4 linked regions of the Drosophila melanogaster genome follow. The protein of the gene in region 1 binds, or shares a complex with, the protein of each later gene. Each region holds a gene or a part of one and is shown on either strand. Other genes may lie near its edges. The genes, in order: MED24, MED7, MED18 and MED4.

The links.
Region 2: MED24 (region 1) and MED7 share a complex: the UniProt entries of both Drosophila melanogaster proteins name them as parts of the mediator complex.
Region 3: MED24 (region 1) and MED18 share a complex: the UniProt entries of both Drosophila melanogaster proteins name them as parts of the mediator complex.
Region 4: MED24 (region 1) and MED4 share a complex: the UniProt entries of both Drosophila melanogaster proteins name them as parts of the mediator complex.

Annotation. Positions count from the first base shown.
Region 1 is NT_037436.4:8,189,324-8,198,321, reverse strand, and holds MED24 (mediator complex subunit 24), read right to left. Parts: upstream 7,053-8,998; 5' UTR 6,934-7,052; coding exon 6,844-6,933; intron 6,801-6,843; exon of another isoform or gene 6,751-6,800; coding exon of another isoform or gene 5,996-6,750; intron 5,909-5,995; coding exon of another isoform or gene 5,314-5,908; exon of another isoform or gene 5,206-5,313; intron 5,133-5,205; coding exon 5,046-5,132; intron 4,988-5,045; coding exon 4,830-4,987; intron 4,761-4,829; coding exon 3,918-4,760; intron 3,851-3,917; coding exon 3,490-3,850; intron 3,433-3,489; coding exon 2,615-3,432; intron 2,476-2,614; exon of another isoform or gene 2,472-2,475; coding exon 1,847-2,471; 3' UTR 1,749-1,846; downstream 1-1,748. Other genes in the region: Dhps (deoxyhypusine synthase), read right to left, coding at 1-30; NEDD8-conjugating enzyme UbcE2M, read left to right, coding at 701-800, 879-1,180, 1,439-1,582; CG7387 (uncharacterized protein), read left to right, coding at 5,314-5,908, 5,996-6,750; Atg18a (Autophagy-related 18a), read right to left, coding at 8,054-8,271, 8,353-8,480, 8,877-8,998. UniProt on the Drosophila melanogaster protein: Component of the Mediator complex, a coactivator involved in the regulated transcription of nearly all RNA polymerase II-dependent genes.
Region 2 is NT_033777.3:10,759,007-10,763,362, forward strand, and holds MED7 (mediator complex subunit 7), read right to left. Parts: upstream 2,027-4,356; 5' UTR 1,928-2,026; coding exon 1,598-1,927; intron 1,537-1,597; coding exon 1,204-1,536; 3' UTR 1,065-1,203; downstream 1-1,064. Other genes in the region: CG31272 (uncharacterized protein), read right to left, coding at 138-183; Cap-H2 (chromosome associated protein H2), read left to right, coding at 2,577-2,610, 2,838-3,019, 3,241-3,443, 4,023-4,356. UniProt on the Drosophila melanogaster protein: Component of the Mediator complex, a coactivator involved in the regulated transcription of nearly all RNA polymerase II-dependent genes.
Region 3 is NC_004354.4:1,863,843-1,868,107, reverse strand, and holds MED18 (mediator complex subunit 18), read right to left. Parts: upstream 2,200-4,265; 5' UTR 2,095-2,199; coding exon 1,970-2,094; intron 1,923-1,969; coding exon of another isoform or gene 1,900-1,922; coding exon 1,613-1,899; intron 1,546-1,612; coding exon 1,304-1,545; 3' UTR 1,221-1,303; downstream 1-1,220. Other genes in the region: Pex5 (peroxin 5), read left to right, coding at 1-1,100; Gcna (germ cell nuclear acidic peptidase), read left to right, coding at 2,372-3,938, 4,001-4,265. UniProt on the Drosophila melanogaster protein: Component of the Mediator complex, a coactivator involved in the regulated transcription of nearly all RNA polymerase II-dependent genes.
Region 4 is NT_037436.4:7,248,193-7,252,507, forward strand, and holds MED4 (mediator complex subunit 4), read right to left. Parts: upstream 2,336-4,315; 5' UTR 2,253-2,335; coding exon 2,016-2,252; intron 1,958-2,015; coding exon 1,418-1,957; 3' UTR 1,337-1,417; downstream 1-1,336. Other genes in the region: Cdc27 (cell division cycle 27), read right to left, coding at 1-242, 312-387, 466-489; CG14830 (uncharacterized protein), read right to left, coding at 2,907-3,426, 3,488-3,916, 3,984-4,006. UniProt on the Drosophila melanogaster protein: Component of the Mediator complex, a coactivator involved in the regulated transcription of nearly all RNA polymerase II-dependent genes.

The sequences.
Region 1 (8,998 bases):
ATCCTTGGCCACCGATGGCTCCGTCGACATAATCAGAAATTGTTGAAATTCAAAATAAACAGCTCAAGGGGAGCCCAATCGTAATGCATTAATCAACATGTGCTGGTTAAGGCAGCCCTGGTTTCCGATAGAGATGTGGTTTGCAAAGTAGCTAACAAATATTTCTTTAAATTTATCTGCAAAGTTTTACGTAGTTATGGAACGAAGTAAGAAAAACCAGCTATCAAAGACTTGCGTTTAATTTAAATAAATATATTTAATATATATATTTAAAAAAAAAAATTATGACGATGATTTTCAAATATATTACGACACCGGTTGCATGTCGAAAATTTAGGTTTTAAAATTTTCTTCGTTTCGAAGTATCCAAACTTGGCTTGAATCCCGCTGAATCCGAAGTCCGCTTACCAGCACTACGCAACAACTATCGAGCAGACTGTTATCGGGTGCAACCATCGATTAATTACACATATCGCTGGGCAGAAACAAGGAAAGGATAGAAAGCACTCGAAGTGATTTTTTACATCAGTTCTATTGTTAACGGTAGGCCAAAGATTCAGTGAAACAATTGCCCTTAAACCACTGACATTTCAAACAATGCAACCTGTCCCTCAAGCAGCAAAAGCCCCCCAGAGAGCCAGAAACTTTCGAGCACAGCCAAACGCGGAAGACGAAACGCCAGCGAGACGAGGACGCCAAGATGATTAAACTATTCACGCTTAAGCAGCAGAAGAAAGACGGCGAGCAAAAGGGCAGTCAGCAGAAGAAAGCGTCCGCCGCCCAGCTGCGCATACAGAAAGGTAGTCTCCAATCCAGCACCTGGTATGATCAACTCTCGCTTATTACTTATCCATCTTGGGCTGTTTTCCTCCCCCCAGATATTAACGAACTGAACCTGCCAAACACTTGCGCCACAGACTTTCCCGATCCCAATGACTTGCTCAACTTCAAGCTTATCATCTCGCCCGACGAGGGCTTCTACAGAGACGGGCGCTTCGTGTTCAATTTCCGCGTCGGATCCAACTATCCGCACGAGCCGCCCAAGGTGAAGTGCGCCACCCAGGTGTACCATCCCAATATTGACCTGGATGGCAACGTCTGCCTCAACATTCTGCGCGAGGACTGGAATCCAGTGCTGAACATCAACTCCATCGTCTATGGCTTGCAGTTTCTATTCTTGGTTTGTATTTCGTGATTTGTGTTATTTTAGAGGCTATACGCTTTGTTCCATAAGTCTTGATCAACAGCCACAGTTTTCAAGTTACAATTGATTTTTTATGTCTTGTTTTGTGAACAATTGATTTCTAAGTGTGCTTAATTGAACGCCCACTGAAACAATTCAATATAAATGTTTGTTTATACCACTTAACGATCATTATTTCTATTTTTGTTATTACCCAAGCCAACAGTATTACTAATCCAAATTAACTGCTTCCAGGAACCCAATCCCGAGGATCCGCTCAACAAGGAGGCGGCCGACGTCCTGCAGACCAACCGCCGTCAGTTCGAGAACAATGTAAAGAAGGCGATGCGTGGTGGCTGTGTGGGCGAGACCTACTTCGAGTGCTGTCTGCTCAAGTGATATAGGGAATCGCAAGGTCTCTTACTTTAAGCCTGTCCATACACCTCCCCCTACACCCGCTAACTGAAGAAGATGAAGCAAAACACAGACGAACATCGGCGACAACAAATTATTGTAATAAACGAAAACAAAATCCACTGCGTGCAAAGAAGAAGCCGAGTCAAGTCACCAATTTCTAGTTTTTAATACAATTCATTTAGCAATTTCGCCCACCCGTCTCTTAATCATAATCGGCATACCCAATGTGGCAATCATCCAAATCCCTCACAGATGAATGCTGTGCCTGGCCATCTGCATATTTCGCCACAGGCAAAGATCAGACACAGCGGACAGTCTTCCTGCCTGGATTCGCAGATCGTATAGTCTGCTGATGAGACCCACTTTTATGTCGTCGGTGACCAAAACTTTCAGGAGCTGTTGCACCAGGCCGTTGGGCAGCAAGCGCAGGACGGGAGCGACCCTCTCACCACCGCATTCCACCAGCAGCGAAATGAACTGATAAACAAAAACGGCCTTGGGCGACAGTTCATCTCCACTGACAAACTGCAGGAACACTGCGAAAATGTGCTGCACGCTCGTCTGCAGTGGTTCTCTTAGAGTAAGCGGCGTAGTCCGCAGTTCAGATGTGGAAGTGGAGCCCAATAATGCTGCCAGGCCAGCTCCGGTCGTAGTGTCCGTAAAGTCGCTTGAGTTGTCGCTGCCATCGCCAATCACCTTGCGCACTTTGGCTGCATTGGCCGCCAGTTCCTCGTCATCGTGAGATCTCGATCGCTTCTTCATGGCCGTCAAAGCGGAAGTGCCATTTCCTTTGCGGCTCTCCAGGCAGGAAATAATACAGTAAACACAGAGGCGGGCCAGTACCAGGGATTGGGGCTCATTAATGTCCTCACTAGAAAAAAAAAAGATTGCCAAATTGTGAGTACGAGTTCTATCATAGCAGTTTCAATTTTTACATCCTTTCTTGCTAAATCGATTCGATTTGTAGATAATAAATAAATGAAATAATATACAGAAGAAAATATTGGTATTTACCCTTGTCGTCGCAGTATCAGTGGAGCCACCACGTACTGGAGCAACGCCTCAGTGGTCTTCTCAATGTCGAGATGCATTACGGCAAACACAACGTCCATGGTTCGCGACATATCCCTTGTGTACTTGCAGGCCAGCAGTTGCTCCACCAACTGCGTGGACAGCCACGCCGCGCCACCGGCTAGCAGAAGCGACTCCAACGACTGAGCGGCGCGAACGGGCAGGTGACCAGCATCGACTACTGTTCGCCACACCTCCCGAAACTGCTCGACTAGCGGGGAATGTGAAATGAGGCGGGACTTGGTACTTGGGGCAGGATGCACATCGTGTTGCATTTTTCTGATAATCTGATAGGAGAGAGCTAGTCGCTCCTTGGCATTTTCCTGGCTGGAAAGCTCTTCGCTGGTCAACGGAGCCAGGAACTGCTGAATCATGTTTAGTGGTTTCAGAAGTTCCGTTTCCTTCACCGAATACATGTAGGCGCATAGAAAACTAGTGGCGCAAACGGAAAAACTGAAAAGTCTTCTCTTAATATTGTCCAGAATACTTTTAACGTCCGCCGAGGATAGCGTTTCCTGCTCCCAAGCTATTAGCACATGATGAAGCACTCCGGGCAGATTAAGGCAAGTCTCCTGCCAACTTAAGTTGTTTGGCTTAAGTTGTGATGCCTCTGGTTTACTGAAGCTAAGCAAAAGCTCGTCGACAATACTGTCATCACAGAGGGCAAGAATTTGACGCGGATTCTTAAGCTTATTCCTTTCCACCATGCACTCACGCACCCATTTTTCAAAAAATGAGTCACCACGCTCAGATAAGACCACCTGAAGTAAAATAGAATTCATTAAAATTGCAGCGTAATAACAGGCGGGTTTACGAACATCGGATCCATAGGTCTGCACAATGCTTGTCAACATTAGGAAGGAAACATCAAACAGAGTGGACCGGATGACGCATAGCTTGCCCAGGTCGCCCGGCACCGGCTTGGAGTTCTCATTGCACTGGATCAGACGCGATACGAATGTCTTGAGGCGTCCCTCGACGGTAGCCACTGAAAGAATCAACTCGAAGCTGTTGCCCACCGGCACTTGGCAAAGGACATTAACCATGTCCTGGACCTTGTTGGTGCACAGCGTTTTTAGTACTCCGGAAAGCGGAACCTCTGCGCGCTTGATGAAGTTTATATTGGAGGGTGTCTGTTGGCCATTGTCGCATTTTTTGAGTAATTGAGAGGCGGCTTCCCTGAAAGAGTTCGTTTTAAATTATATAATTAAGATGGGTGTACAAAATGCATGATTTCTCGACTAACCTTTGACTGGCGAACTTCTTTACGTGGACATCATTGACTAGTTGTTGCTTGGTCCAGTCATTCAAAAGGAACTCGATCATATTGCATGAGCACTTAGTATCCATGAAGTCTAGCAGCAGATTGTCCTCGATGAGCAATTCCAAAGCCTCCACCAACTCGGGTATGTAATCGGCCGGTGGTGGTTGCTCCCCGGGAATCCGTTGCAGGGCGTGCAATTGCTTAATGATGTGCGGCATTTTAAAGAACATAAAGGCACCCCACATAGTGTCAGGACTTGTATCCGCAACATTGCTCAGCGTGAGGAATCCAGCACGGATGATTTCGTAGAAGAGCCGTGTATTGGAGTATTTCTTTAATCGTTGCAGCATCTGCAACTCAGCCACGTAGTAGCTGGTGTCCTTGCACGGATTGAGAAGCACTTCCACCGCCAGTAAGGGTTGCACGCAGCACGAGATCTTCTCGAGTGTTGACGGCGGATTAAGTGGTTGCATTTCAAGATGCTTGGCTTCTATAAAGGCCAACTGCTGCAATTGCTGCTCCACTTGTGGTGCATTTAGCGTAAAGTTTGAGTTCGTCAACGATCCCTTGATGGTAGCGTACTTATCCCGAATCCGTCCACATATTTCGAGCTCTTCGTGACAGCCCACGTACAGCATAGACAGCAGGAACTGCTGCTGGCTAAGCCGATCTATCACCACGCAGGTCTGGTCCAGCATGTATGATTGCTCAGCACTAATCTCACCATACAGTTCATAGTGCTGCACAGTTCTGGCGAAGATTTGAAGCAGCCAGTACACCAAGTGGACGACGGAACTCGGTAAAACCGCTTCCTCAGATTTTATTCTGGAAATAGAAATGAACAATTATTTTTACTCCTGCTTTTTAACGACTTATAAAACTAAAAGGACTTACCGGCAGGTAACGCCATCCACGATGCTGGCCAGGAATTCAAGGAGCGCTGTAATGCAATAAACGCGCTCTAATTTGTCATATTTGGCAATGCACCGAATAACAGCAGCGTGAGAAACGAGATGGGCGCACAGTGAATGCTTCAGGTAGTTAAGAACCAACTGAAAAGCATAGATTACAATTTAGAAAACAATCTAAATACTCAGATCAACTACTCACCGGATTAGCCGTGGAACCAATGAGTGCCTGCTGCATCAGACAGTCAGCCAGATTGTATACATCTCCACTGACTCCTCTCGGCAGCACCTGAAATAGTAATCAAGGGAAAGACAATAATGAAACATTTTCTTTTCCTGTCAAACTTTAACACAATATCTGGGTCACAACCCCATAAAATAAACAGAAACAGAACCACTTAAAAATCTAGTTAGGATTTCCACTTATATAGTTAGCACACATAGTTGCATATTTCGTTACGCGATAAAAAATGTTTCGTTTAAAATTATTTCGCAGTCCTGGAGACGTATTAAGCACTTTAATTAGCGGAGCTGCAACGGATTGCTGCAGGAAGACGTCACATTGTTTGGAGTTGGATCGCGCTCCCGCTGTCGCTGCCTGCTGGATCTGTATGCGGATGATCAGTCAATATCAGTTCAGGACCACGAAACCAGCCTACTATCCAGATCGCCAGCGGGAGGCGAAGCGAACGTCAGCGGGAGCCACGCCTCAACAGGTGTCATCTCCGGCTGTTAAGTACCCGCAAAGCCGAGGCATGCCCAAGGACTACTACTACAAAGTGTTAGGCGTCAACAGGCACGCCACCATCCAGCAAATCAGATCGGCTTTCTATGCGCTGGCCAAGCGCTATCATCCCGACTCGACGCACTCGGAACAAAAGCTGAAGCACTTCCAGGAGCTGTCCAACGCCTACAACATCCTAACCGACGAGACGAAGCGCTTGGAGTACGATCAGCTGGGCGGGATTAAGGATGAGCGCGCTTTTCTTGAACAGGCGGGCAATCCCCTAAATGTGGGCCTCGAGGAGGCCAAGAAGTTCGATTCGGATAAGACGACAAATGATGGTAAGCAGACGGATTTTAGATACATCAAACACCATTTCACTTTTCACTATATCACGATATGAACACGATCCTTGAATCGCCTTCTAGAGATCAACAAACTGAAGAGCAACGAGTTCGATCTGCCACTTGACTTCCTTGAGGCGACAGTGGGATGCAAGAAGCGGATAGAGCTGCGCTACTTGCGGAAATGCGAGACCTGCAAGGGCAAGTCACAATTGATGGCGCATCGGGATGTGGGCAAGGAACCCTGTCGGCGATGCAATGGAACTGGAAAGGTCATGACCAAAACGCCAACCTTCTCATCGGTGAACACATGCACGCAGTGCAAGGGCAAGCGATTCACAAATCGCAACGACTGCGAAACATGTTCGAATCGCGGCTTCGTGGTGTCCAATGTGGATGTGATGGTATCGGTGCCTTCCGGATCCCGGGACGGTGATGTGGTGAACATTATAAATCCGGAAACGAAGCAGCAGGTCACCTACCGCTTGTCGGTGCCGTCTAGCGACTATTTCCGACGCGTTGGCAATGACATTCTAACCGACAAGCACCTAAACATCTCGGAGGCCATTCTGGGCGGATCCTTTCAGATACGGGGTCTGTACGAAAGCGTGGAGCTGCGTGTGGAGCCGGGCACCCAATCCCACACCCAGGTGGTGCTCAATGGCAAGGGGGTGCGCTCCAGGGAGGGCGTGGGCAACCACATCGTCACGCTGAAGGTGCGTATACCCCGGAATCTCTCCGTAAAGCAACGCCAACTGGTTTTGGCACTGTCCCAGGCAGAGGATCCGGTTTTCGAGCCCAAGACTAAGAGCACGGAGGCGGGCAATTTGAGTCACTAAAATTCTCAATGTACCGGCCTCATTGCGTTTACAATATATTGGTAAACACGAACATTGATTGTTTGGTGTGTTGATTTGCTTGGGTTGCCTTGCCTTTTTTATGTTGATGCCCCACTGGGAGTCCGTCCAGCGCTCGCGCCACGCCACATAGATGAGTTGGAGGATCTTGTTGTTCTCCTTCATCTCTCGCGTCCGTGGAAGTAATATAACTTTTACTTTTCTCGTATTTCACGCAATTTATTTTATTTAAACCTAATATATTTTTTAGCAGCGCTCAGTGTGACCGAGGTATCTTTTATTAATCATACCAAAAGAGTACCATAATTTTCCCATCCTACAGTGTTGAAAAACACACAATCTTAAAATTTGTCGCCAATTTTAAATATTTTGAAAATTTTGTTTTTGCAACGAGGAATTTAGCCAAATAAAGGAAATAATATTAAAATATATTTTAAGACACCGAAAAGGCACCCACAAACAAATTTTAATTCAAATAATTTATTGAATACAATAAAGTAGCGTATGAGTTTCATTTGTAAACTGTTTTCATTTTAAACATTATGTTCTAAAATATTTGACTTTGTACAAAATATATTCTATTTATATATGCCGAAAATTGTTCCTCCATTGCACGCTCCGATTTTTTGAATTTCATTTCACTCATCGTGTCGCTAGCTGAATGTTAAATTTTAAATTGAATATATAATATATATATATAGGTGTGGTGTATGTGCTTAATCCGAGATATTTCGATATGATTAAACAATAGCTAGGCGAGAACTTTACATACAAATCGAGTTCGGTGGATTGTCAAGGGAAGATGCGCGAGGACTGGAAAAATAAAAAAATTAAAAACTAATTTGCAAAGGCCGTTTATTTTGTATAAAAAGCTGGCAACTCAAATATCAAAGCGAATCTGTAAATCCGTCTAAATTATTAATTAACAACTAACTTAGGAGTGTATGACAAAAGCATTTCACATTCCAATGGCAGCGCCAGGAACGGAGGCTTAAAACTAAAAAATGTTTTGGGTAGGGAGAGGCCGTACAAAGGAATATTGGCTGGTACAAAACGAGGAAGAATCATCGCTGACAACGTTAAGAGCTAAATTAAGTCTATGACCTATTTATTTACTTAAATACGCTTGACGCCACAGAGCCACCGTCGTTTATTCATCATCATTATCGCCGCCGCCAGTCGCCAAGCATCATTGTAATCACTTTAGCATCATCGTCCTTATTACTTTGAGGAGTGAGTTTCGTTTACCATCGCTGCATCTCTCATTTTTGATCATTGACCTTGTCTAAGCGGATGAGGGTCCCACGGGATCGTCACCCTTCACGGCCGACGCATAGGAGCTACTTGGTTTGTCGACACCACCGGTAACAGAAACAGCCGACTTGCCATCACCGCCACTTCCACCAGTGCCTGCTCCGGCTGCACTTGCACTGCTCGGCGGAACTCCAGCTGCTCCGCCAATGCTCACGCCACTGTTAAGGCCTAGAGTTTGAGGTGAATCAACTAGAGAATTTGTTTCGATTGTGGGTTTGGTTGGGATGTGTGTAAGTGTGAAGTGTGTGCGAGAAGCGAACAGTTAAGCACCTTTGATATCCATGGCATAGTGGTCCTCCAGCCGCAGGTCGTGCCTCTTTATTAGCTGGCACTCTGCGCCCTCGACGGTGGGAATGGAATACACGTACAAGTACCCATCCTGCGAGGCAATCAAAAGTCTACAAATACAACAGAATGAACCGTTATTTAGAACTTGAAATAGAGGCAGGGTAATCAGTTTGTAGTTCAATTTGCACGTGATTCAATTTTTGTTTTATAAACCTTTATGAAATGTACTAGGCTACTTTTGCAAAGAGCATATTAATTACATTTCAACAGAGTTCAGGGAAATTCAAACATATGAAGCCAGATAAAGTAGGTAGTGTAAATGATTTACGCGGAACAACTGCATTGGTATCTAGAACTCAGATTCCCTACCTGAGGTATTAAGCTCGCATAGAATTGCAGTTTTCGAAATTCTTTATAGCTAGGTAGAATTTTATGGCTTTTTCACTTTCCCGTGCGTTCTTCGTTGCAAATTGAACTGAAACAAAACTGATCCGTGCTAGACTCACCTTAGCTGCTTTTGTATCGTGGCAATAGCGCACATCCTGCGCACTCCCGCCTCCGGCAGAGTGACCGAGGCGAAGGCACGGCCTTGGCTAAACACGTCGGTCACCTGCGTGGGCAGGTAGCT
Region 2 (4,356 bases), on another chromosome or scaffold:
TCAGTTAATTTGCGACTGGTTATTACATGATACTTCTTAAAAACAATGCACTTTTTAAGGAAGCTCTGTTTTATTGGGTTTATAAGGTTTTTTCTACTCCATCGTAGTTAGTTGCCAATTATTTTTTAACCCTTTACCTTTGCTTTTCTCTGGAATCGCTGTTTTAATATTCTTTTCCGACATCTTAGCTATTACTGTTTGTCACCATGGGTTTTCACAATCGGCTTGCTCTTGAAATTGATTGTTCAATTAATACGATGCAGTTCTTAATTAAAAAGCGCAACCACAAGTTCTTTAAAAAATTAAGTTCAAAGTCAATGAGTTAAGGGTTTTCAAAATATTCCTATTCAACCGACTTGCACACTTGCAATGCTGCACGAGAAATGATCATCTAGAGCGCATGGCACCTCCTTTTATCGGAGATTACTTCAATAAAAGTGAAGATTCACTTAACTACATCTCTCTTATCGCGGGCTTTACAATCTAAGAAAGCTAATAAACGTATTAAACCATGTTTATTTAGAAAAACACGTTGGATTTTGTAAAGGGCACAGTGAGTTAAAAAAATTTTAGGGAAAACATTATACTCCAGTTGTGAATGAATATCTCTATTGACTTTTTAATCATGTTTATCAAACAAAATTAGTAATTTTGATGAAACTCCATACAAATTCATTAAAACCACATATGTATATGTACATTATGAAACGCACTGTACGAGCATATTTCGGCTAGCCACGATGATGCCATGCGGTAGCACCCATTAAAAGTAGGAAAACGTGTGAGGTGTTCATGTCTCATGTCATGTCACATGTCTTTACAATTTTTACAATTAAATATATACATTTATATTGTTATTCCTATCCTGAATAAATTGTTCTAGATAGATTATTAATTTATGACATTTGACTATATTATTACTCCACGCTGACTACGTCATTTTAATGGTGAAATTTGTGGGATGCTTAATCATGAGCCTTTATCTCGGATCTTATCTGTGTAAAGCTTATCTCAAAGATGACTTAACACATTAATTCCCATTGAATGAATTACTCATTAGACGTGCAAGATTCTCATCCCACAATTGGGGTTTTATTTCTTATACTAAAAGGAGTTATAAATATGAGGAGCTCTTTTTTCCAAGCCATTCACAATGATTGACACTATTTCCAGCGTCGATGTCCAGTCTTTTGCCAACTCAGCTTACTCGATAGCGTCCACAAGCTTGCACAACATGCGATCGTGCTGGTAACTGGGATCATTCTTGGCCGCCGCATTCGCCTCCAACGGATCCACCTCCGTCTTAATCTTTGCTCCGCCGCTATCGTCGTCATCATCTAGAACCGGCAGAGCTGAGAAGGCGGTATTAACGATCTCGCGCACACGTTCCAAGTGCTTTTGGAAACGGGCGGCGGTCTCAACGCGCTGCCGCTTCTGCATTTCCATCATGACGCGCAGCGTTTCCCTCGCCTGATGTGGGCGAAATTCATTGAGGAGGTGATGCATGTTGACGAACAGCAGACTGATATCGTCAATCTAAGATATCAAATGAGTGTAATACAATAGATGCTACATTTTAATGGGTCAATTGACTCACCTTTTCCGTGCGCCGCGGGCTGTCAGGATTCAGGATAAGAAAGTCAATGAGATCTAGGAAGTTGACCAAGAGGGAGTGGTTAAGCTTCTTGAGCTCCTTGCGCCGATCGAAATGGATGGGGATCAGTCGCTTAATATTCTGGGACTCCAAGCTGCGGATCATCTCGTCGTTGTTGTACTGGATGCCAAACATGCTATAGACTTCGTGCTGCGCCGGCGGCGGCGGTGGGCGTGGCGCTCGGTTGCGGCGGATATTCTCGTCCGTGTAATTGGCGATGTACCGCTCCGGCGGCATCGGCAGGCTGGAAACCTGGGTCTCCTGGTTGGACATTATGAGATTAACAAGTGCGGAAATACAAAAATAATAAATGATTTTTGTTTTGAAGAAGTGATGGCACCTGAGACAGGCGAATCACTCACGATAGTGATGACACTATCACTCAAATTGTTTTCTTAAAAATGAGCACACTAGAGGTTTGAAGCTAGACAATGCAATAATAAGCAGAATTTATTATAATATGTTTTGAGACACTGACAAATAATTTACAATTACAAAAATTAAATTAGATATTAATCGAGCTCGAAATAATAAATGATTCACCGTGCCTAGCTATCGATAACTTAAAGGTGACCATGCTTGCATGCACCCCCTACAGCATTGCCATAGCAATTTTTCTCCGTCTCTTCCCTCATTCGTCGGTAGAGCACAACAAAATAAGAAACACATATATATCTTGATGTGAATAGCTAATTGTTCCAGCACCGATTCGCGCCAATATTCCTGTTCCTGCCAAAGAAATGAAAACAAAACGTAAAACCATAACATAACTGGACCCAACTAAGAGACAAGCCGTGCTGCCTCCACCATTTTGATTTCCCCACTCAGCGTGTGTGCGTGCTTGCAGTGCTTGTGCACGATGCCAGTAAAATGTGCAAAACCGGACATAAAACAAACTTTTCCTAGTGTCATCTAGTGAGCCATGGAGCGGATTTTGCCTGAAGAAGCGGAAGCGGGTAAGCATCCAGAACTTAGGTAACCAACGCAGGACAGCCCCAGGCGTGATCTTCGTTTCCCATTGATTAAGTCAGCGCTATTTCCAGTATACCGCGTGTGTTGGTGCTTCTATGCGAGTGTGTGTGTGTGTGTATGGGGAGGGCCGAAATAAACAATAAAGCGGATCTGCGATTGGGTGTGTGGTTTTTGCTTAAGTAAATCCAATCGGTTTCTATTTAATTCACAGCCTACTTGAGCGAAGCGCGGGAGCAGATATTGGAAATAGCCAAGAATCGGCCGGGAACCCAAGTGGCCAAGTGCATCCGCGCCTACGATGAGCAACAGGACCTGGCCTCGCTAGTCGTCCTCCTCGAAGAGCTCTCCAAAAACACGGACTACTCCACGGACCTACGGATATCACTGGGATATGTGAGTGTTGAAGACCACTATTATCAAGATAAGCAAAACCGCCGAAGAGCAGAAAGATCAAAATAAAAGTGTGACGCAACGTGCGTGGGTTTTACAGTCATGCCTCGATAACTGGTATTTTAACTAAAATTATATAAATGGGTTTTCAAGAAAATCTATTATTTTATTTACAGTGAACACAAAAGCCTGCAGATCCTCAAATACATTGCTTATATTTTCAGTATATTGAAGAGCTACTGCGCCACTGCTTAGGACGAAATGATGTCTCTCGAAGATCGGCCATCGTGGCCGCAGGAAGTGCCCTCCAGTACTGCGGCAAGATCTATGGAGACCGAGTGGAGTACCTGTGCCAGGTGGTGGAGCACCAGATCGAAGCCCTGCTCACATCGGAGTTGCAGAAGGAGACCCCTAGCGGAAGTGCTGCGTAAGTTTAACTCAGAACTGAAGAGTTAAGAAGATGGAGAAAGACAAGGCCACGTGCTCCCCACTTGTCGCCATTGCTGGCTCTTTTCGGTCCAGAATTCCGCTTATCGAGCTTCACTTTACGCCCCCTTCGGCTTTGTTTGCATTAATATCACAGAAGCCGGCTTGCCGTTAATGGACGATAGGGCACGTTCTCGTGCTTCCAAAAACAAATAACAAACAGAGTATATAAAGAAATGAGAAATTAACCAGACAAGTGAAGCTAAAAACGTAGACAGTTCATTCATAAAAATAACAAGTTATTCAGAGATAGATCACATCCTAAATAAATATTTTTACATTATAATTCACTTAAATTCTTTCTTATCAGCCGGCATTAAAGAATTTGGGGAGATTATTTGACCTAAATGTTGAAAGTCTAATTAATTTTAAAGATAGCACCAGTATTTTGATTAAACATAAGATGATTTCATTATAATATTTAAGTTACATAATAATCAGTCCTTTAAAAAAAAGAAATCTTATCCTCTTTTAATCTGCATTTAGCGATATAATAATTGTTTTCCTTTCATATTTACAGACCGGAGAAAAACGAGCGCAGGCCTGAGGAAACGCGCAAACGTCACCCTAAAAAGCTAACTAACAAGGAAGTTGATCCCTATTTGCTCACGTTGGAACCGAAAAGGTTTAAAACCATGTCGGACGACAAGCGCTTCAACGCGGCGGGCTTTGTAAAGTGCACGAGAAATCGGACGATAGAATACCTTTATCAGGATCACACGCCGCCCAACCTGTGGAAACACGCGCCAATTGTGGATCCTCACAATCCCTACGACCAGGATGAGAAAAAGCAATACAAAATGTTTACGTATCACGTAGAGCATAGATACAATACGCTTCTGCCAGATATTCCC
Region 3 (4,265 bases), on another chromosome or scaffold:
AACAAAAAGAGCAAACCGCCGCCAACTTCAACGAAAAGTTCTGGGAGCGGCTGCAAGACGAGTGGCAGAAGCTGGCCGACGAGAACGAGCATCCGTGGCTGTCGGAGTACAACGACAATATGGACGCTTATAAGGAGTACGAGTTCGCCGAGGGCAACCCCATGTCTGATGTGGAGAACCCGTTTGAAAAGGGTAAGGAGTACCTGTCCAAAGGGGATATACCCAGCGCAGTTCTATGTTTCGAGGTGGCGGCCAAAAAGCAACCGGAGCGCGCTGAGGTCTGGCAGTTGCTGGGCACTTCGCAGACAGAGAACGAAATGGATCCCCAGGCCATTGCGGCACTTAAGCGGGCTTACGACTTGCAACCGGACAACCAACAGGTCCTGATGGCCCTGGCCGCGTGCTACACCAACGAGGGCCTGCAGAACAACGCCGTGCGCATGCTGTGCAACTGGCTGACAGTGCATCCCAAGTATCAGCACCTGGTCGCAGCCCATCCGGAGCTGCAGGCCGAGGGCACTTCGTTGGCTTCGTCGCTGATTGGTCCGAGTAAGCTGCGCGATCTGCAGCAGATCTACTTGGAAGCCGTTCGACAGCACCCTTCGGAGGTGGATGCCGAAGTCCAGGATGCCCTCGGCGTGCTCTACAATCTATCTGGGGAGTTCGACAAGGCGGTGGACTGCTACCAGTCCGCTCTGCAGGTGGATCCCCAAAATGCGAAGACATGGAACCGATTGGGGGCCAGTTTGGCCAACGGCTCGCGCTCCGTGGAGGCGGTGGAGGCTTATCAGCAGGCGCTGCAGCTCCAACCGGGCTTCATCCGTGTGCGTTACAACGTGGGCGTATGTTGCATGAACCTTAAGGCCTACAAGGAAGCTGTGGAGCACTTACTCACAGCGCTTACCATGCAGGCTCACACTAACGCCGCCCGAGAGCTGCCCAATGCGGCGATGGCGGCTACCTTTAGAGGACAGAACCAGATGTCCGAGTCTATTTGGAGTACGCTGAAGATGGTCATTTCGCTGATGGGCCGCAGCGATCTCCAGAGTTATGTGAGCGATCGCAATCTGGCGGCTCTTAATGAGGCCTTTAAGGATTAACCGCCCCGCAGCTTCTTTATCACTGCTTTGGGAAAGTCCGTTGTTGTCGTGTCATGTGGGTGTGTAAGGTTGAATTTGAGATATTTTTTACTCTGGCAGTGTAATCATTCCCTCTCGGTTCTTTTCTGTAAATTTGTATATTTTCTTACATTTAAGAAATTAAATAACTGTTGGATAAATGCGATGTGCACTTTTATTGTAAACTACGGCATGCCGCCCAGTCGCTTGTAGTCGATCTTCTCGAGCTGCACGAGTGGCTTTAGTTGCTCGGCAAACACGCGCATTTCCTCGCCGACATTCTCCTGCCCCGTTGGCGCCACCACAGAGAGTTCCACTATGTAGCTTTGTGAGATTGGCTCGTTGGCCATGTCCTGCTGCTTGCCGGGCACAATCTTAATGAGCTTGGAGACGGTAATCTTCATGCGCCCCTTGCGGAACATATAGCCTGAAATAAGTCCATTTGTCACTATCCATTTTGGCAACCCAAGCGTAATATATTTCATGATTCCAACCCTTTGCTATGTACTCGAACTCCAGGCGGAAGCCCATTTCCGTGAGGAATTCCAAAATGCCATTGGTGCAGGCGCAGTCCATGCAGCTGCGTACCAATGTAGGCCGGCGCAGATCCACCTCGGGGTTTCCTAGGTAGCGCATCTGAAAGGGTGCATCGCGACCAAGGGCTCGGCGCACGCGAAGAAGCAGCGGCTGGTTGGCATTGGGCTGGCGAAGGCTCATACACACTTCCAGATCGTGAAACGGCTCCGGCGAGGTGTCCACATTGTCGCAGAGTCCCTTTAGTCTGATAGTGGGTAGGCGGTTAGACTGTTAGTCGGGTGCAAACGATTCAAATCTGACACTGGGTCTCCCACCTGTGCATCAAGTGTTCCACGGCGGAATCCAGGATAGATCCCTGCAGCAAGTACTCCAGGTTGGGCAAGAAGCGGTTGTTCATCGCATGGGAGAGCGACTCACGGGCCGACGACACAATCGCCATTGGCTAATTTTGTAAGTTTGGGTGTACTATGGTATTAAATTAACTGAGCAGTAGTTTGGTTTTGTTTTTAGTTTCATTTCCTTGGAAGAATTCGTTTTACTAGTGATGCCGTTTTAGACATTTTCGAACAGCACTAGCTAGATGCCGGAAAATCAAATAGTCTATCGATAACGATGAACGTAAATCGACGCGCACAGAATAATAGCAAATACGAATTTTGCTTAAAGCATATTCATAGAGATTGATTTACCGTAAATGCCCCAACGACGCCCCCAAAATGGCGGATCATAAGTATAGGCTCTTCAATGCGGTCGACCCGAGCAAAGTAAAAGTTCCCTTCAATCAAAAGTTCGCCAATTTGACGCTATCCTCCCACAAAAAACGACTCCAGGTGTCCCATGCGCCGAAGGATCATCCAGAAAAGAGGAACGACCAGAAAACAAGGAAACTGCCAGCAGCTCCCATGCGCGCCAATGTGGGAGCACCCGCTCCGTCCTGCGGGGCAAATACGGAGGACACAGAACTCGACAATTCCGACTACATGGAAGCCTTGCAGCTGAGCGCCGACGGCTGCAGCCAGGATGTGGCAAATGTGGGCGATGTAGAGCTCCTGTCCGCTGGCATCAGCAATTTGAAAGTGCAGCCCATAAATGAGGAGCACTCGGCCAAGCCGGAGATCTCCATTTGCATTTCCTCCACTACGGAAGAGAACGTATCCGGCGACGACGACGCCGCCTCCTGTATCACCATATCCGATTCTAGCGAGGATGAGCAAGAACCCTTGCCTCCCGATAGCATGGCTGTGAGTGAACGGGAAATTGTGGCTAATCCCGGCCAGGAAGACATACCACAGCCCATGCTCACAACCGAAAAAGTGCAGCGCATCGAGGCTTTTCTGCGCGATGTGTCCATAGAGCGACGCGAGATGGAGTGGAATGGCCCATTGACACCGCCCCCCCTCTCTTCCAGCCAGCGGCAATCCCGTCTAGCCGATGCGGACACCGAATCCATGTCGCCCACCGACGAGGACTGGCAGCCACCCACTACCAGGCCGATTTACAACAGCACACAACTGGCGAACAACGATACGCAGGTGAATACCATCTGCTCAGCAGATGCCACTCGATTGGATAGCAGCAAGCGGTTGGCAGACGACGAAACGGAGGCGAATACTCTCGGATCGGAGGAGCTTGAGCCCACATACAGCAGCAAGCGTTTAGCAGACAATGACACCGAGCCCAACACCCTGTGTTCTGATAGTTCTGAGACCCATAACTCGACGATTCACAACAATGAGCCCGTTCCTGATGAATCCATTGAAATACCGGAAACCAGCAGCGAGGGCGAGCTCACGCCGCAAAAGGCCAGCTCTGGTTCCTCCACATCGGGAGGGGACGAACACGGTTCTATCCAGGTCAGCAGTATTAATATTTCAGCGAAGATCAACATTAAAATCAGCATTCCCACTATGGAGTCAAGTTCGGCGGAAGACGACGATGAGCATTACTCTTCGCCCAGGGCCACTAAGTCCCTGCCCAGCTCGGAGGAGGTGCAGCACCAAGAGCACCAGCAGCAGGACCCTCAGAGCCACCAAAAATCCATGCTGTCTGTGGATGATGCATCCGAGGATGAGCAGTTTCTCACCCACGCAGAAAAGCTGCTCAATCAATTGTACGGCAAGTCTTGGCAGACACCAGATGTGATCCGCACTCTAAAGCGCTCCAGTGGTAGTGGCGGTAAACAGGCTCCTCTGAGGCCCAGGAATATTCAAGCAACAGCGGTAACCACCGCTAAAAAAAAGAAGCCCAAGCCAGATGAAAGTGTTCTCGGGGACTTCAGCATATGTAAGAATTTATCCATGCTTTTTATCCTCCAACCGTTGAGTCACACGCGCTTTAATCCCCAGTTACTAAACCTCTGCGCACAAATCAGACTCCTTTAAACTCGACTCGTCTGCCTCCGATGCGCGCTGTCCAAACGGAGAGACGTCCGCGGACTCAAAAGCCGTTGACACGCCCACGCACCAATCATATAGACGAGGATCGCTGGCGCAAGCTCATAGATTCCGACAGCGGGACAGACGCCTCCGACGACGAGGATGCAGATGCCACTTTTAGCGAAAGCGGTAGTGATAGCGACAGTGATAAGGACAAGGAGAACAAGCAAAAGAG
Region 4 (4,315 bases), 940 kb from region 1:
GCAGGCCAGATCCCCGAAGTCCCGCTGCAGCTCATCGCAGTTCTTGGCGTCCGCGAATCCCGTGGAGATCAGGGCACTCTCCGCCTCAGCGTATTTTTTCAGCTCGTAGGCACATTTGGCCTGCAGAAAGCGGCACTGCGGCGAGCGGCGTGCCTTCTCCTTGAGCAGCCAATATGCCTGGTGCACCTGATTGGAGCGGAAGTAGCTGGTGGCCAGCAGGAATATCGTCTCGTCGCTCTCCACTGCAAGGACACGGTGAAAGAGAAAATCAGTGATATACCCGGTCAGACAAACGAGACCTTGACCTATACCTTCTGAGCACAGGCGTTCCGACAGGAAAACGGCATCCTTGAAGTCGTAGTAGTTCAGGCAATGCCATATGGCGGCCTTTGGGAGCGAAAAAAAAGAAGGGAGAAAATTTGGTTTTTTATAGAGGCCAGGTGGACCGAGGAGCTATTGATTTACCTGCACGGGCTCTTGAATCATCATGTCTGGGCGGTATGTGCGACTTTCTAGGGGCGCTCTATGAGATGTACGTTCACTGTACTTCAGGGCTTTACAATAATTCAAACATGCAGTGTGTAGAACTCAAACAAACTATCATGTCGCCCCCCACTCGTACACTCTTCTGTTTGTATTTGTATTCGAATTGTTTTCTTTTGGCCAAATTTTTTCCAACAATATCGAATGGGAAAAAGTAAAAGTTTGGCCTGTGTGCTGGCTGGCTGTGTGGTATGTGAGTGTCGTATGTAACCCGATTGCGGATGCGGCGATGCAAGTGGCGATGGCGGTGTCTCTCGCTCCCTGGCCTCCACTCCACTCCACCTTCCACTTCCACTTTTTCTTTATATTTGATATTGCAATTGGTTTGAGTCGAGCCTTCGCTTCGCTTCGCCCTCTGTACACACACACTGCGAACGGGGGGTCGGTTTTCTACTATCGTTTTCGGGGCTTATCTCTCGTTAAAGACGCACACGGGGCTGATCTGCGATTGGCGGCGACACTGGACTACACCTTGGCCACATTTTAGCTACTTGAAACACGCTGCATACGCGTTGCATTCCATTTTATTTGAAAAACCAAAGCTAAAATAATTGCGAGCTGTCAAAGTATCGATTGCACGCGACCCTGCCAATCGATTGTTTATATGGTTGAGGAGGACCGTATCGCACTAGCGCAAAAGTACCAAGCTCTTGACACGAAGCTATTATAAGCTGTTTCCACTGATACATAACTTTGCATTTTTTTAAATGCCAATTTAAATTGTAAATTAATATCATTAAAGAAGGTCATAAAATTAGATATGTATCCCAGCTACTCAAATATATACATAACTAGACTTCCTTACAGCGCGCTTTTATTAAATACCTAATACTACTAGCTTAAACGAGATTTAGTTATAGTTTTTTATCCAATTCTACTGCGAATCGCTGGAACTGGAGCTTGAGCTATCCGTGGACATGACCTCCACATCGTCCTGGGCGCGCGTCTCCAGGGCCACTGTGTTCCCAGAGGCGCCCATGGTCATGTGCAGCTCTCCGAGATTCCAGTTAAACTGGTTCTGGAAGGCATTGGGCACCTCGCCGCCGGCGCCACTGCCACTCCCACTTCCTGCGCTACCGGACAGCGTTCGCTGCTGCTCCGAGGGCATGCCGCTGTTCTGGTGGGTCACTGTTCCGCCGTTGATGTTCTGCTCGGATTTACCCAGCAGCCCGTTGCGCATCTCAATGTCCGTGGGATAGGGACGCCGCAGGTCACCTATGCACCAGGTGAGCGGAGCACTGACCGCATTGGCGGAGCTAATCCGATGTGCGTATTTGATGAGCTCCTCGGATGAAACCGGTCGTTTGTTGGCCTGATTGATGCTGGCCAGTTTCTGTCGCGCTTGGAAGATGGCCGTGGACAGTATGAGCTCCGCATCCTTTAGCGACTTTTGCAGCTTCTGGATCTCACGGTCCTAAGCGGGAAAATCCAGATTATACCTTATTTTTGGGGAATGCAAAACTTCTACTTACGTGCACCTCGACCTTAGCGCGCAGTTGGTCCATCGCCTCCTCCACTTTCGCCTGCTCCTCCGCCAGTTCCAGCATTTTGCGAAATTCCTCATCTTTGGCCACCAGCAAATCCAACAGGTCCACCAATTCGGTGCTGGAGATCTTCTGGTGCGCCTGCTCGATCAACTCCTTGGCAATCATCTCAATGTCGTCGATCAGGAGCAGAAGGCGCTCTTTTGTGCTCAAATGAAACGACATTATCACGGCAAATCGTTTGTGCTAAGCAATAATTGCAATTTGTTTATTTTCCACACCGCAATGTGGCCGTTCTTCGATTGCTGAAATATACCGTATAGTATTCCGGAGCGCTGTTAATACCACGTTGTAAAAATACCGTAACAGAGAGGTTGCCAGACTAATAGGAGTTGCCACATGGGTTATTTCATACACTCAAAAAAAAGGGAATCAAGTACTCAAAAGCAAAGAGTAGAAGAGACTGTTCAAAAATAAAACAAATTCGCAGCGTTATCTCTAGTAGGTATTATTTGCTTGTTTATTTCTCGTGTGTTACAATTGCAGTTACAATTTTAGCATAAAACTCTTCTGTTGATTAGCCAAATCAAACCTAACAAACCTTCTCAAATATGGCAGATTACAATACTCTGTTGCATCCTCGCGTTCGCGTCTCCCGTCAGTTTCACTCTTAAAACATACAAACCAGCAAGCAACTTGCAGCAGGTACGTTGGAGGGGCCTTGTTAATAACCGTTTAGAACTAGTAGATAGTCTTACAATTAGTTAAGATATAAGTGGTTTATATGTGGCTATTCATATTTCTTCTCCGCCCAAAGGATCCCCTTTCATCAAACCGCATATGTATGTACATACATACATATGTACATATGCATAACAATCAGTATCGCTGGCTCTCGCGATCCGAGTATTTGCCACTCAGCTTGCTAACCGAATAGCGATCCGAGTAGGCATCGTACTTGTCCGCCTTGTAGTTGATCTCCTGCGGCGTGTATCCGATATTCTTCTGCCAGTGCCGCGTCCAGTAGAGATCCTCGTTGCGCACCTGCGATGGCGTCTTCGCATCCCGGAACACGTACACACAGTAGATCATGCAGCCGATTAGCGTGAGGAAGCCGAAGACCAGGAACACAATTCCCAGTATCCACACGTACAGTGGCTCATAGAACTGCACCACAATGACGAATCCTAGCGTCACCAGGATCAGGCCCAAGTTGAGCAACAGCATCAGACAGCACACGCCCTTGACATTGGGGCAAAATGGATTCGGCGCGGACATGGTTTCCACTTTGGCGCCTCGCCGAGTCGTCGAGCGCGCACTGCGTCCGGTTTTGGCCGTACTGGCCACGGAGTAAACACTCCGTGGAGCTCCTCGCGACACTGGACGCTGACTGTAGCGACTGTAATGGATGATAGATAGTTTAGATATGGGTTATATGCTATATAGTTGTAACAACGCACCTGATCTCGGAGGGCGCCTTGTAGGCGGCACTGGTCACATAGATGTCGCTGCCGGCGTCACCAGCCTGGTCATAGCTCAGGGCGGACGGAGCACGCGGTGGCTGGCGCGTGGGCGGCGGTCCGCTGAGGGAGCGAGGTCCTCCGTTGTCCGGCGAACTGGAGAGGCCCATCTGACTGTGGCTGTAGCTGCTCTGCAGGTGCTGATGCTGATGGTTTCCATTCGAGGATGAGGAGCGCTTCTTGCGCGAACCATTGTACTGCGGCGAGATGCGCTCGTGGGTCAACGTGTACTCCGAATAGGTGCGCTCCGAGGGCGCCCGGTGGGAGTGGGTCTCATCGCCGTCGGTGGAATAGCCGCGGTTCGAGTGGACGTAGGGCGGATCCGGAGTGAGGCGACCGTGCGTGGCCACATAATGGCTGCCCTTCAACCTGTAATTGGATCGCAAATGTTATCGCCGCTGTATTAGCCGTTAAGTGGCCCATCCGCGCTACTCACTTCTTCACTTGTCTCTCGTGCATCCTGTATCTTTTGCTCCGCCTGTATCTGTATCTTTTGCTGGCTCTTCTCTGCGGCTGATTGACTGCTAATGGACCCGTCTAGCAATTCCTCGAGGTGCCTGCAATGGGTAAGTAAAGCAAAACAAACACACGATGAGCTCGACTTCATGGCAATTAGGTTTTGGCTTCACTTTATCGACTAGCTTAGAACTTTTAATTAGAGCGATGAAAGTTTTATTCGACTGCAGACAGCAGCCATATTCAATAAAATAACTGGTTTGTTTGAATTTCACAAGCGTAACGTAAAGTTTCATGGCTCTGGGTTCTCTG